3 linked regions of the Oryzias latipes genome follow. The protein of the gene in region 3 purifies or fractionates together with the protein of the main gene of each other region. This does not show direct contact. Links are inferred from orthologs where the notes say so. Each region holds a gene or a part of one and is shown on either strand. Other genes may lie near its edges. The genes, in order: histone-lysine N-methyltransferase SETD1A, death-inducer obliterator 1 and ogt.

The links.
Region 1: the proteins of ogt (region 3) and histone-lysine N-methyltransferase SETD1A purify together in Homo sapiens (affinity purification with mass spectrometry; 4 studies listed by BioGRID and IntAct, with this or other methods). This does not show direct contact. The link is inferred for Oryzias latipes from reciprocal best matches to the Homo sapiens genes OGT and SETD1A.
Region 2: the proteins of ogt (region 3) and death-inducer obliterator 1 purify together in Homo sapiens (affinity purification with mass spectrometry; 3 studies listed by BioGRID and IntAct, with this or other methods). This does not show direct contact. The link is inferred for Oryzias latipes from reciprocal best matches to the Homo sapiens genes OGT and DIDO1.

The regions. Positions count from the first base shown.
Region 1 is NC_019866.2:4,052,520-4,056,171, reverse strand, and holds part of histone-lysine N-methyltransferase SETD1A, read left to right. Parts: coding exon 1-17; intron 18-2,122; coding exon 2,123-2,379; intron 2,380-2,492; coding exon 2,493-3,652. UniProt on the Homo sapiens protein: Histone methyltransferase that catalyzes methyl group transfer from S-adenosyl-L-methionine to the epsilon-amino group of 'Lys-4' of histone H3 (H3K4) via a non-processive mechanism.
Region 2 is NC_019863.2:25,950,347-25,953,998, forward strand, and holds part of death-inducer obliterator 1, read right to left. Parts: coding exon 2,966-3,652; intron 2,816-2,965; coding exon 2,413-2,815; intron 1,147-2,412; coding exon 787-1,146; intron 1-786. UniProt on the Homo sapiens protein: Putative transcription factor, weakly pro-apoptotic when overexpressed. Tumor suppressor. Required for early embryonic stem cell development.
Region 3 is NC_019868.2:18,370,306-18,373,957, forward strand, and holds part of ogt (UDP-N-acetylglucosamine--peptide N-acetylglucosaminyltransferase 110 kDa subunit), read left to right. Parts: intron 1-834; coding exon 835-1,078; intron 1,079-1,196; coding exon 1,197-1,265; intron 1,266-3,058; exon of another isoform or gene 3,059-3,182; coding exon of another isoform or gene 3,183-3,185; intron 3,186-3,652. UniProt on the Homo sapiens protein: Catalyzes the transfer of a single N-acetylglucosamine from UDP-GlcNAc to a serine or threonine residue in cytoplasmic and nuclear proteins resulting in their modification with a beta-linked N-acetylglucosamine (O-GlcNAc).

The sequences.
Region 1 (3,652 bases), on a different chromosome or scaffold from region 3:
AGCCCCAGCCTGATACGGTATTGTTACATCATGAATGTTTAACTGTTATTGATGAGCGTTGAGTAAGCATTGTGTTTTTGATTTATATTCATATTTTATATGCATTCAGTGTTCAGCTATGGAAGTGTTGAAATGCCATCTGTACTGTGTGTGTGTTAATAGATGACACAAAACACTCGGTAAACCTCTGATCTTGACTAAATAAAAGCAAAAATAAGTGAATTTAAACTAAGAATTGTCTGAACTTTGGAGTTATATAGGCTTCTTCACTTCAGAATCTGAAAGGCAGGTCAGAAATCACAGTTTCATAATGCAGTTTTCCTTTTATTGGCATAAACAAGACTTTCTACACTTTACACTATAGACTTGTAGACTGGAGTAAAATAATAGGAATCATGTTTTAGTTTTATTACTGATGAGGGTTTTCGTTCATCCAGGTGAGGTCTTGAAGTTAAGTCATGGCATCTGGACTTGCAGTAAAACCTTCGTCAGTCTGTCTATCATCAGTTTATTAACAGTAAAAATGTGCTCCGTATCTCGGCATAGCTGTATCTGGATCTGTAACATACAAAACACACGTATGCTTAAGCAGAAATAGACCTAAAGGTTTTCAATCGATGTTTAGAAACAACAATAAACATAACAGTGCCAGATTATAGTTAAACTACTAGCTTGCATCCATCCACAGTCTTTATTATTTACATAGTAGTAAGAGGCGTTTCAAAAACAAATGCAGCTATAATTTCTGTCATCTGCTCGTCGTCTTTTAATGTTTGGATCTGACTGCCTTGAAAACGTTTTTTTTTTTAGTCGGTTCTGGTACTGATCGTCCCTCCTCTGTTTGGTGATGCCAGAAGAAGAAAACCGATCATTTCATGGATGTGTAAAGGCTTTTGAGAAAAAGCTGGCTTTTTTTAGTTGAACTGTGAGTATCTGCAAGTGAAGGCAGTGGCAGAAATGTGCTCTGCTGCCCCCGCCATTTGGTTCAGGTCCTTGATGTTCTCCTCCATGAGGCTGGAAGACCACAAAGTGCAGTAGATGGTCAGAACGCCCTCTATTATTCATTTGTGAAAGTAGGCCAGCAGATGTTGAGAGAAGTGTATGTACTTCTTTCCCTGTTGGGGTTTCTCCTTCTGACGTGAGATGTGATGTCCAGGTGAGGTCAGCTGAGGACAACAAAGACTTAACATTTCTCTGGTCAGAGAGCTCAGTGGTCTGTGGGTTGGCACGCTTAAGTCCACCATCACTTCCTGGTTTTACAGTCTTTACGCCCAGCCTGTGTTTAAGGCAATCATTTCTGAGTTTTTGACACTTTTTACCTCTAAGCTGTCTAATATAGTTTCTGTAGCGGTGTTTTATTTACTGAAATGACAATAGTGTTAGTGGAGTCTCAACAGAGGAACGTCTTGTATTGATGGTGAATGGAAGAAGGGGCGGAATACACATTATTGCACGATGACATGTGGTCAGGTTCTGAGAACGGCCACTACCCCGGTATGTGCACAGCAAACTGACAAGTCTTTAAAACAATCAGTTTATTATTTATTATCAAGACAATGAATTGTCTCCCAAATGGAGATCACATACCTGTTATCTTTGTTCAGGTGTTGGAAATCCCCAAAAGTCCATTGAGACTGAAGCTTGACATGTTATCTTAATGAAATCTGGTGTACAAATAGTTTAAAGCAGATAGATAATTTGCAGAGGAACACACACAACATTTAAGTTAAATTGTAAGCCATAAAAAAAAATGTTGGACGCCCGCTCCGGCCGTTTGCAGGCCGATCCGTGAAAATACTGTCTGACATTAAACTAGTCTGTGGCCTGAAAAAGGTTGGAGATCACGGATCTAAAGGGTTTCCTCAAGCTTCTTCTTATAGCATCACTTAGGTGTTTTATTCATCTGTTGCAGCTCAATGTTTGGGGGGGGGAAGCTAATCTATTTCTTTGATTTGTTCCTATAAATTGTTCTTTTAAGAAAAAGAATAAATCCTGTGTGGGACATAAATAAAAATGTCTTTTGTTGTTCTGACATTGAAAGAGAATTTGTAAGTTGAGTGTCAATCTTTTTAAAGTCATCATTTAAAATGTTAAAAAAAAGACACAATTTTCTTCTTTGCAGCCGTCAGAAATGAGGCGTAGGCTATCCAGCGAGCTTGTGGCTTTGGCCACGGGAGTTCAGGCTCTCACATCAGGAGGCGTCACACCCTGTTCTAATGACACCGGCTACAGTGAACAGCGAATGGAAAGCACTCCCTCCTCCTTAGTGGGCCAGTATACCCCGGGTTCCTCTGCTTCGTCTCAGGGTGGTGGGGGAACACCTTACAGCTCCAGGTCTGGCACACCTTTCTCACAGGACTCGGGCTTCACCAGCACAAGGTTAATAGTTGATTTAATTTAAAATAATTCACAGCTTAAAGCTCATATTTGCTGTTGTAGTGACTACTGGCTGAGTAGTGATGCTCATTTTTTTTCTTATCTCTTTGTTGCAGGCATTCCAGCTACAATACAAGCAATTTGAGCAGCGGATACCCTCACCAGGATATGTTACCTTCCTCATCTTCTGCAGTTTCATCCACTGTTGGAGGTTACAAAGTCTCTCGCTACCCTGACGACCTACAGGAGCCATCCGTGTACCACCGTGGTCGCCCTGTTTACCCCCATCCCACATCGTACCGCCCCAATGAGCCACCATGCTTCCCTCCTTTCACCGGTGTCGGTGGACCAGGTCCACACATGGCCCATCACTCCTCCATGCCTCCACCTCCCATTTCCAACCAGTTTGACCAGCCCCCGATGTCAGACAGGGAGCGCGAAAGAGACTCAGGGGGGAGGTACGGGGCTGCGGGGATCGGTTCCAGAAGGTCATCCTACCATCACCCACAGGACACAAACTCCTCCTCAAAGTACCACGCCCATCACTCCCACCACCACTCAGAGCGCAGGGATGAAAGGGGGTACCGGCGCGACAGCCTGGGGTCCCGCTCCGGTGAACACAACCACCAGAGGCACCGGAACCACCACCACACTCACAACCACCACGGCAGCAGCAGCCGCAGGAGAAGCAGCCATGACCGAGACAGAGATCGGGACAAAGATCGGGACAATGACTTCTCTAATAACTCAGACCCCAGATACAGTTCCAACTCTTACCGTTCTTCCTCTAACAGCATGTCTCCTCCTCCATCATCTTACTCTGCATACGCCTCCAAAGAGCCGACTTCAGCCCCTTCCCAGGGACCGGACGCTGCCAGTCGTCCAGGAGGCACCAACGCTTCAGAGAGAGTGCCTCTGCCGTCTCCTGGTGCTGACAAAGACTACCATTCTGCTCATCACAGTGCTCTGCCTCCTCCACCTCTTCCACCACCTCCACTCCCACCAGCATCAGTTATTGCCGCGGCCGTAGCCGAGACACTCGGAACGCTGGACTTCAATCAGGACAGCCCCGTCCGCGGAGACCAATGGACGAAGCCCAAACGCCGTCCCAGCACTCCACCTGCCCCACCAAAGACACCCCCGCCTTCTTCCCCGACCCAGCCTTCTGTTGCATCCTCTTCCAACTCTCCATCTTCAACCTCACTTCCTCATCATCTTTCCTCTTCGTCCAGCTCCCCGCCACCTCATCGAGACTCCTCCTCCCCAGAGCCAGATT
Region 2 (3,652 bases), on a different chromosome or scaffold from region 3:
ATTATGAGGGAAAAAAGAAGTCTGTTGGAGAATTCTGCAGATTTTAAAGCCAAGTCCCTAAACAATTAAACCATCTTGTGATAGAAATGGTCTGCTTATATAAAGCGTTTTTATTATTTATGCCTTTACTTAAATTGCCATTTACGTTGGGAGAAGAAACATCCACCAGGAGGCAATTTATGGACCTCTTCTTCAAATTGTTTTAAAGAGGCACTTCAAAATTCTGATACAAAAGAAAGAATATCATGTGTTGATTTTTTTTAGATATTTTCATCAGGAAAAAAGGTTTTCAAAAAAAGTATAGTGCAAAGTTCCCCCCCAACTTTAAACTAAAGACACATGAGTCCTTTTTGGAAAATGGAAAGAAAAGTCTTCAGCAAAAGCCCGCTGCAATTCCCATGCAAACCAAATTATCCCAACAAGAGAAGAAAACAGAGTAAAAAAACATTTTTTTTAAAAACACTTTGTAATATCCAACCCGTGTTATTTCTCACAAGTCAACCCAAAAAAACAAACTTCAGATCTACATCACCTCCTGAACTTCAAACCCTGGATTTACTGAACGTCGGCAGAGGAAATCAAAACACTTTTTATTGCAATGCTAACAAAAAGCGTAAGCCCTGAATACAGTTCACAAAAAAGCTGCCTTCAAACCTTTTACTAATACAAATCAGACATGCAAACAATTCCCAAGAGTCAAATAAAGTCAGCATTAAAAGCAATGACTCGTGACTGAAGATACGTTTTCTTTCATTTCGGCAATGTATTTCAGTCAGTCCGGGTTACCTTTGCTGTGGACTTGCTTATGGGAGCCTTGTCCTTGGGCTCTTTGACATCACTGATGGACTTCATGGCGGCGGCGGCATGTCGCAGAATGCAGTCGTGGCCGCAGTACACAGAATCTGGCTGAGCATTCTTAGCACAACCAGGTCCAATGCACTTTGGAGAGAAAGAGTCATCCTCGGCCTTCTGCCCGGACTTGTCCTCCACCACTTCCACTTCTGGTGACGTCTTCACTTCCACAACAGAGGCGACCTTCTGCTCGGTGTCGGCTGATGCTTTCTGTTCAACCGATGGGGAAGCCTTGGTTTCCGTAATTCGTGAAGCCTTCTGCGCTGCCTTCGGTTGAACTGCCAGCTGAACCCCCTGGTTGGAGTCAGTGCAACATTAAATCAACAGCGAATGACAGATATTTCAACCTGCATTAAATACCAGAGGCATAAACCTATTGGATTATTGGATATACTTGATACTCTTATTGATAGGTATCCCGTTTACCCTGCCACCCTACATTTCACATTTGTGGGATTAAGAATTTACTTGTAGCAAACCCAAGCAAACTTCATTTAGTTTAGTGTTTCCCAACCCTGGTCCTCGGGGAACACTGTCCTGCATTTTTATAATCCTACCCTGCTCAAACCCACCTGCCTTTGATGACTGTCATTGTCAAGTTTCTACAAAACCCGCTGATTAGCTGAATCAGGTGCGCATAAGGAGGCCAACATGGAAAACAACGTGGAAGACGGTAGGCCTGCACAATAAATCCCAAATGTATCCTTATTGCGTGCATACAGATATCGCGAAAATTGTGATAAAGGGTACTTAAATGTGCTTCAACAATCTTACGGCAGCTTGAAGTATTTAATCAAATAAATCCCTTTATGCATTTGACCAATCAGATGGAGCCCTTTGACGTTAGATGCCCGCCTCCTATGCAGACGAGGGTCATTTGGAGTGTAACTTTAGCTATGTTGACTTTAATATCAATTAAACTGTTGCAGTGAAATGGAAATGATGTATTTAGTAGCTTTGCCATTTGTTCATGTATCCCAAGTTATATCGTCATTGCAAAATTGACCACTACAATCGCAAATCCCAAGTTTTCCTCATATTGTGAAGCCCTACAGGACAGTGTTCCCCGAGGACCAGGGCTGGGAAACACTGATTTAGTTGATGTAATCACTCCATTATCAGGCACAAAACTCCTGTGCCACAGAGCTCTCGGTTCTATACGGGGCAAACCCAAGACTATTTATATTACACAAAAAAAAAAATCGTACAAAGATGACAACAAAGGGACAGGCGGTCCAGGGCTCAAGTTGGGCATCTACTGGACTCAACGTGTGAACACTGAGGGTTGCATGTTGGCAAAATAGGCAAGCTGTAAAAAACCTCGAAGCTGCTAGTAGGCGTAAACATACTATATCAGCGTGTGCAGTAACTTTGTCTGAGCATGGACAGTGAAAGAGTACTCTGAGTAAACAACCCGCTGTGTTCACTAATATTAGTGAAGATAGAGTTCAGAAAAAGCAGGTCATTTAATTATGAACTACAACAATGACAGACTATGAAAACCTAATAAAATCCATTAGTAGGGGGAAACTCTTGTTTATATCAGCTACAGAGACGTACCGGCTGAAAAATCTTTATCTTCTTTTTTCCAGTTGGATTTGTAGCCTTCTCTATCCGACCTTTGATGCCCAGGTCCTCCGATGCTTTCTCCTCTGCCCCACTTACTGTGGAAGATGGTGGTGCTACAGCCTGAATGTTTGCTCCACTGACAGCAGATTTTTCAGAAGAACCAGAGGAGGGAGCAGTGGCAGAAGAGCCACCTGCAGAAACAGTGGACCTGGCTGAATCTGCACTTGTAGACAGGAGGGACGTGGCAGGTCTGACCACTTGGTTTTTCTTGGCAGTGCAGTTGGGACAGATGTAGTCTTCACCATTTCTTTCCAACAGGCGTCCACGGACCTCAGTGATTCCGACACAGTCCCCATGGAACCATTCTTCACAGCGGTCACAGCAAATCATAAATCTAGATGGAGAGGGACCAATCACAAAAAGACCAAGAATGCAACAGGCTTTTGCCTACAAATGTTTCATGGGGTTTGTCATTTAAATTTTCTAGATTTAAGTATTAAAATAAATGCAACAATGTAGCAGTAACCACTTAAAAAAAACCTACCGTTTGTTGTGTTTCTGACGACAGATGCAGTATAACGCATTGGGGTCATAGCCTCCATCAGATTCATCTAAAGACGAAGATGAAGACGAATCGTCATCCTCCTCCTCATCCATTTGGGGCTTGCTTGTCTTAACAGAAGTTTTAGGCTTAGTAGGAGCAGTGTTTTTGTTCACAACAACTCTGACAGGTGTACTGTTCTTTTTTGCTGCCCTCTTTTTATTGACATATGTTCTTAACGGTCCACTTCTTTCCGTTAAAGCTGGAGGCTTGTCCTCGGAGTCTTCAGCGTTTTCATTTTTCACCTCAGATTCTGTTTTCTCCTCATTCTTAGAGTCTTGCTCCTGCTGAGGCGGTGTTGTATCATTGCTCTCTACAACATCAGGGTCACTGTTTTTGTCTTTGTTTCCTGTCCCCTGATCTGGATCCTTTTTGATTTCATCTTTATTATCCTCCTCATTCTCAGAGCTTCCCTCATCCTTGGCTGCTACTCTGCCACTCCGTCTGGTCTGCATTCCTCTCTGTGGCGTCTTCTGAGTCTGTTTCTTTGTAGCGCTTCTCGTCTTCCTCTCTGGGGAATCAGTTTTGTCCTCTGAAGCCTTGAAGTCAACACTGCCATCAAAGCTGGCTTCTGAAGCAGTCTCTGCATCAGTTGGAGTTTGAGAAGGAGGATCTCCACTATCCCCACTT
Region 3 (3,652 bases):
AAACAGTCTTATGGCAGCCTGAAGTATGTAACGAATCAAAAAAATCCCTTAATGCATTTGACCAATCGGATCTGTTATGTTAGATGTTGGCCTCCTATGTAGACTACGTTTAACTCTTATTTAAATTAAACTGTACCAGTGAACTGGGAATTGTTTTTGGTTGTTTTTCCATTTTTTTATGTATCGTAAGTTATGTCATCGTCATGATATTGATCACTAATACCGCATATTGCGAGTGTTCCTCATTTTGTGCTGCCCTAATGTAAATCAATGACAAATCTGTATGATTTGTGTAACACAAACAATGCAAGTAGCATGTTTGCTGAAATACATCTTTGTTGGTACAGATATGCAGCAATGCAATAAAAGTAAATAAAAAAATCGGAGTACCACAGAAACATGACAGCAATAGTTAAAATTACACTTTTCTGGTAAATCTAATCCTTGGCACTTTTTTGTACATAAATGTTTTACTTGCATGCGGGATGAAGACCGTCCTGCATCTCCTGATTTTCCAACTCCTCTTCTTTCAAAGTTCTGACAAGAGTTTTGCTCTGGTTGAATTCCTAGACATTTTTTCACAATAATAACTTATATTTACAACATAAATTACGATGACACACTTTTAAAAACACAGCTTAAATTATGTATATTTCTTCTAACAACTATCGATTGTCTATTTGTTGATTGTCAACATCGTTGCATAAAAATTCGACACCGTGGAAACCACTGCAACGACAGGAAAGTTATGTAAATCAGCGCAAACGTGTGTTTTCTGCCGCTGGTGACCGTGTCGGTGTTGAGGGTTAACTGTGTTTATATTTTTGCTCACAGGTCTGCTCACTTCAGTACTTTGGCCATCAAGCAGAATCCAATGCTTGCAGAGGCTTACTCCAACCTGGGAAACGTGTACAAGGAGCGTGGTCAGTTGCAGGAGGCCATCGAGCATTATCGCCACGCACTGAGGCTGAAGCCGGACTTCATTGACGGGTACATCAACTTGGCAGCAGCTCTGGTGGCTGCAGGAGACATGGAGGGAGCAGTCCAAGCTTATGTGTCTGCTTTACAATACAACCCAGTAAGTGGTGTTATTAAGTACTTGAAAAATTTGGGGGGGGGGGGGGGGGGACTTGTTAGTGAAAACATTCTATTTTATTCTATTTTTAAATCTTTGTGTTTTTTTTTTTCTTTTACAGGATCTCTATTGTGTACGTAGCGATTTGGGCAACTTGCTCAAAGCCCTGGGACGTTTGGAAGAGGCTAAGGTACGCGTCTTTGTGTCTTCAATGCTAAAGATGTGGGTTTTATTTTCTCTCCTTTAGTTTTAGGATGTCTTTTTAGGCCATCGATTCTTCCTTTTTCTTTTATTTTTTCGTTACTTTTAGGAGCTTTATTAAAGTCCTCTTTTCTCTGGGGGCCAGATAAACATCAGCTTATTTTAGACTTGCAAGGAGCTTCTCACCTCACTTTAGAAAAGTTTTTTTGGAAATATTGAACTAGAGTCTAAAAGACTCATATTGCACTCTAAAGCTGTCCTTTCTTTAAACATTTTTCGAACTTAAATTATCTAAATCTTTATTTTTTCTGATCTTTTTGTACAAATTCTTTTTGACAATGGTCCTTATTACTTAGTCCCACTGTTTTTGCTGACCTTGCTAATGAAAGGTCATCCCCTCCCCTTTCAGGAAGAAAGGCTGCAGTAAGTGAACCCTTCAGATTGAACCCTGGCCCTGCATCCTAATGATGTTTATCTGGGAGGGAAAACGCTGGCTCGGTCTTTAAAGTGATTATGAACTGATATCAAGATAGAATTTATCTGAAGTGCAAAAGATAAGATGGTTTCTAACCTAACTGCTATACTCCTGTGTTGCATATCAAGTGCCCAATGACAATATTTCTATCCCTGTTTTCAGCTGGTAGTTTCTGCCAGTGTGGATCCTTTTTTATTTTTTTCCCCACTAGGAGTTTACAACTCAACTTTGTCACTTTAAAATGTGCTTGTCACGGGGGGGGGGGGGGGGGGGGGCTCCCTTGGTCCGTTCAAATCCGGTCATATGGAGTTGTCCTGCTGGTTACAGGCCATCTTATTTCATGCTAGAGGGGGGTAAAGGAGTGTGGAGGAGCATCAGGGAGTCACAAGCTCCCCAGCTCTGTAGCTCTGCCCCCCGCGCGCTTGCTAAGGATCGGTGGAGTGTGCGCAACCAGAGCTGTCTTCTTGACCAATCAGCTTCCCCTAGTTGATGCCGAGGCGCATCCCCACATGCCTTTCATGTCCAAAAGTCAGTACTTACACTGAGATTTACGATTAGTCAATCATTCTGATATTTATTGACATGCCCTGCCGTTTATTTACATATAAAGCTCATTCTTCAGTGCCTTAAGGCGGTTGAAGTAGTGTCAAGCAGACAGCTCACTCACTATTTGTGCTCCACCACCTGCGCCAGATGCTGGATTAGAAAGACAGTATGATGCGCAGCAGCAGCAATGACCTCTTTATTTCAGATCTGTGGAGACTTCTAGATACAAGTACTTAAACCACAGAATTTTCTTCCCTATCCATTGGCCAGGATTCAAGAAAGCAGGCCAGGATAAAGAAATCAAAGTTTTAAAAAATATATTTTCTGAAAATGCTAGTGGAATATAAGAAACGCATTGGTTCACATTTCTTCCCTTTTCCTTCAAATATGTAATAATATTCCTACTGAAATGGGATCAGTTCATTTGGGTAAGATCAAGCCAGTAATCGCCCTCTTTGTAGTTTGGTTTAAATTCTCAATTGGCAGGAAAATAGAGGTCTGACTACATGTCAGTGATTAACTGAACAGCAAAGCCTTTCTTCCCTCGGTTAGCCTGTAAGCAATCCTCTTGTTTTGTATCAGGCCCTCAATGCATGACTGAAAGCTAAAGCTAAAGCTACCATTTATTTTTGTTTTGTCGTGATTTGGTGCTTTATATCCATAATCAACAAATAATGTATTGTTTGAAGAACTTTTACTAACGATCTTGTTTTCTGATTTTGTCTCTTTTGGTTTTTTCCACGACTGATATTGTTATTTAGAAGGTTTCAGGTGGGTGACACTATTCCTGCGTAGGTGCCTGGCGGAAAGGAACTCTAGGGCAGCCTCAGTCCTCTCCTCTTCTTCCAGCCAGCTGCGACCACCACTCTGACAAAGTCCAAAAATATGGTAACGGGTTTGTAACTGCCAACAAAAGAAAAACCACCTTACTTCATGCTTGAGCCCCTCGCTCTTGTGAAAGAAAGAAAAAATAAACTTAATATTTTTCAGTTAGTTTTTATTGAAATTTGTTTTACTAATTAACCAATTTTATATGAAGTAAAAAGAAACTTGGATTTGGAAGCTGTAATTATGAAAAACATTAAGAACCCTCTAACACTTACATGCTGGTTATTTTTCCTATTTGTTTTGTTTTCTCCCTTTCTTTATTTGGAGTTGCAGCGTTCTGATGATGCAGTAAATGCGCTGTGAGTCTGCAGTAGCGCAGGGGCTGCGCAGCGATACCCTTCAAGCAACCTAAATGGCGGAAAGCGCACGCGTGCAACCCCCAACGCCCTCCCCCCTCATCCCCCTTGGCCTGTTTGGTTGCGGACCTCACCCCACCCAAAAACCAGCCTCGCTCCCAAATGCACCAA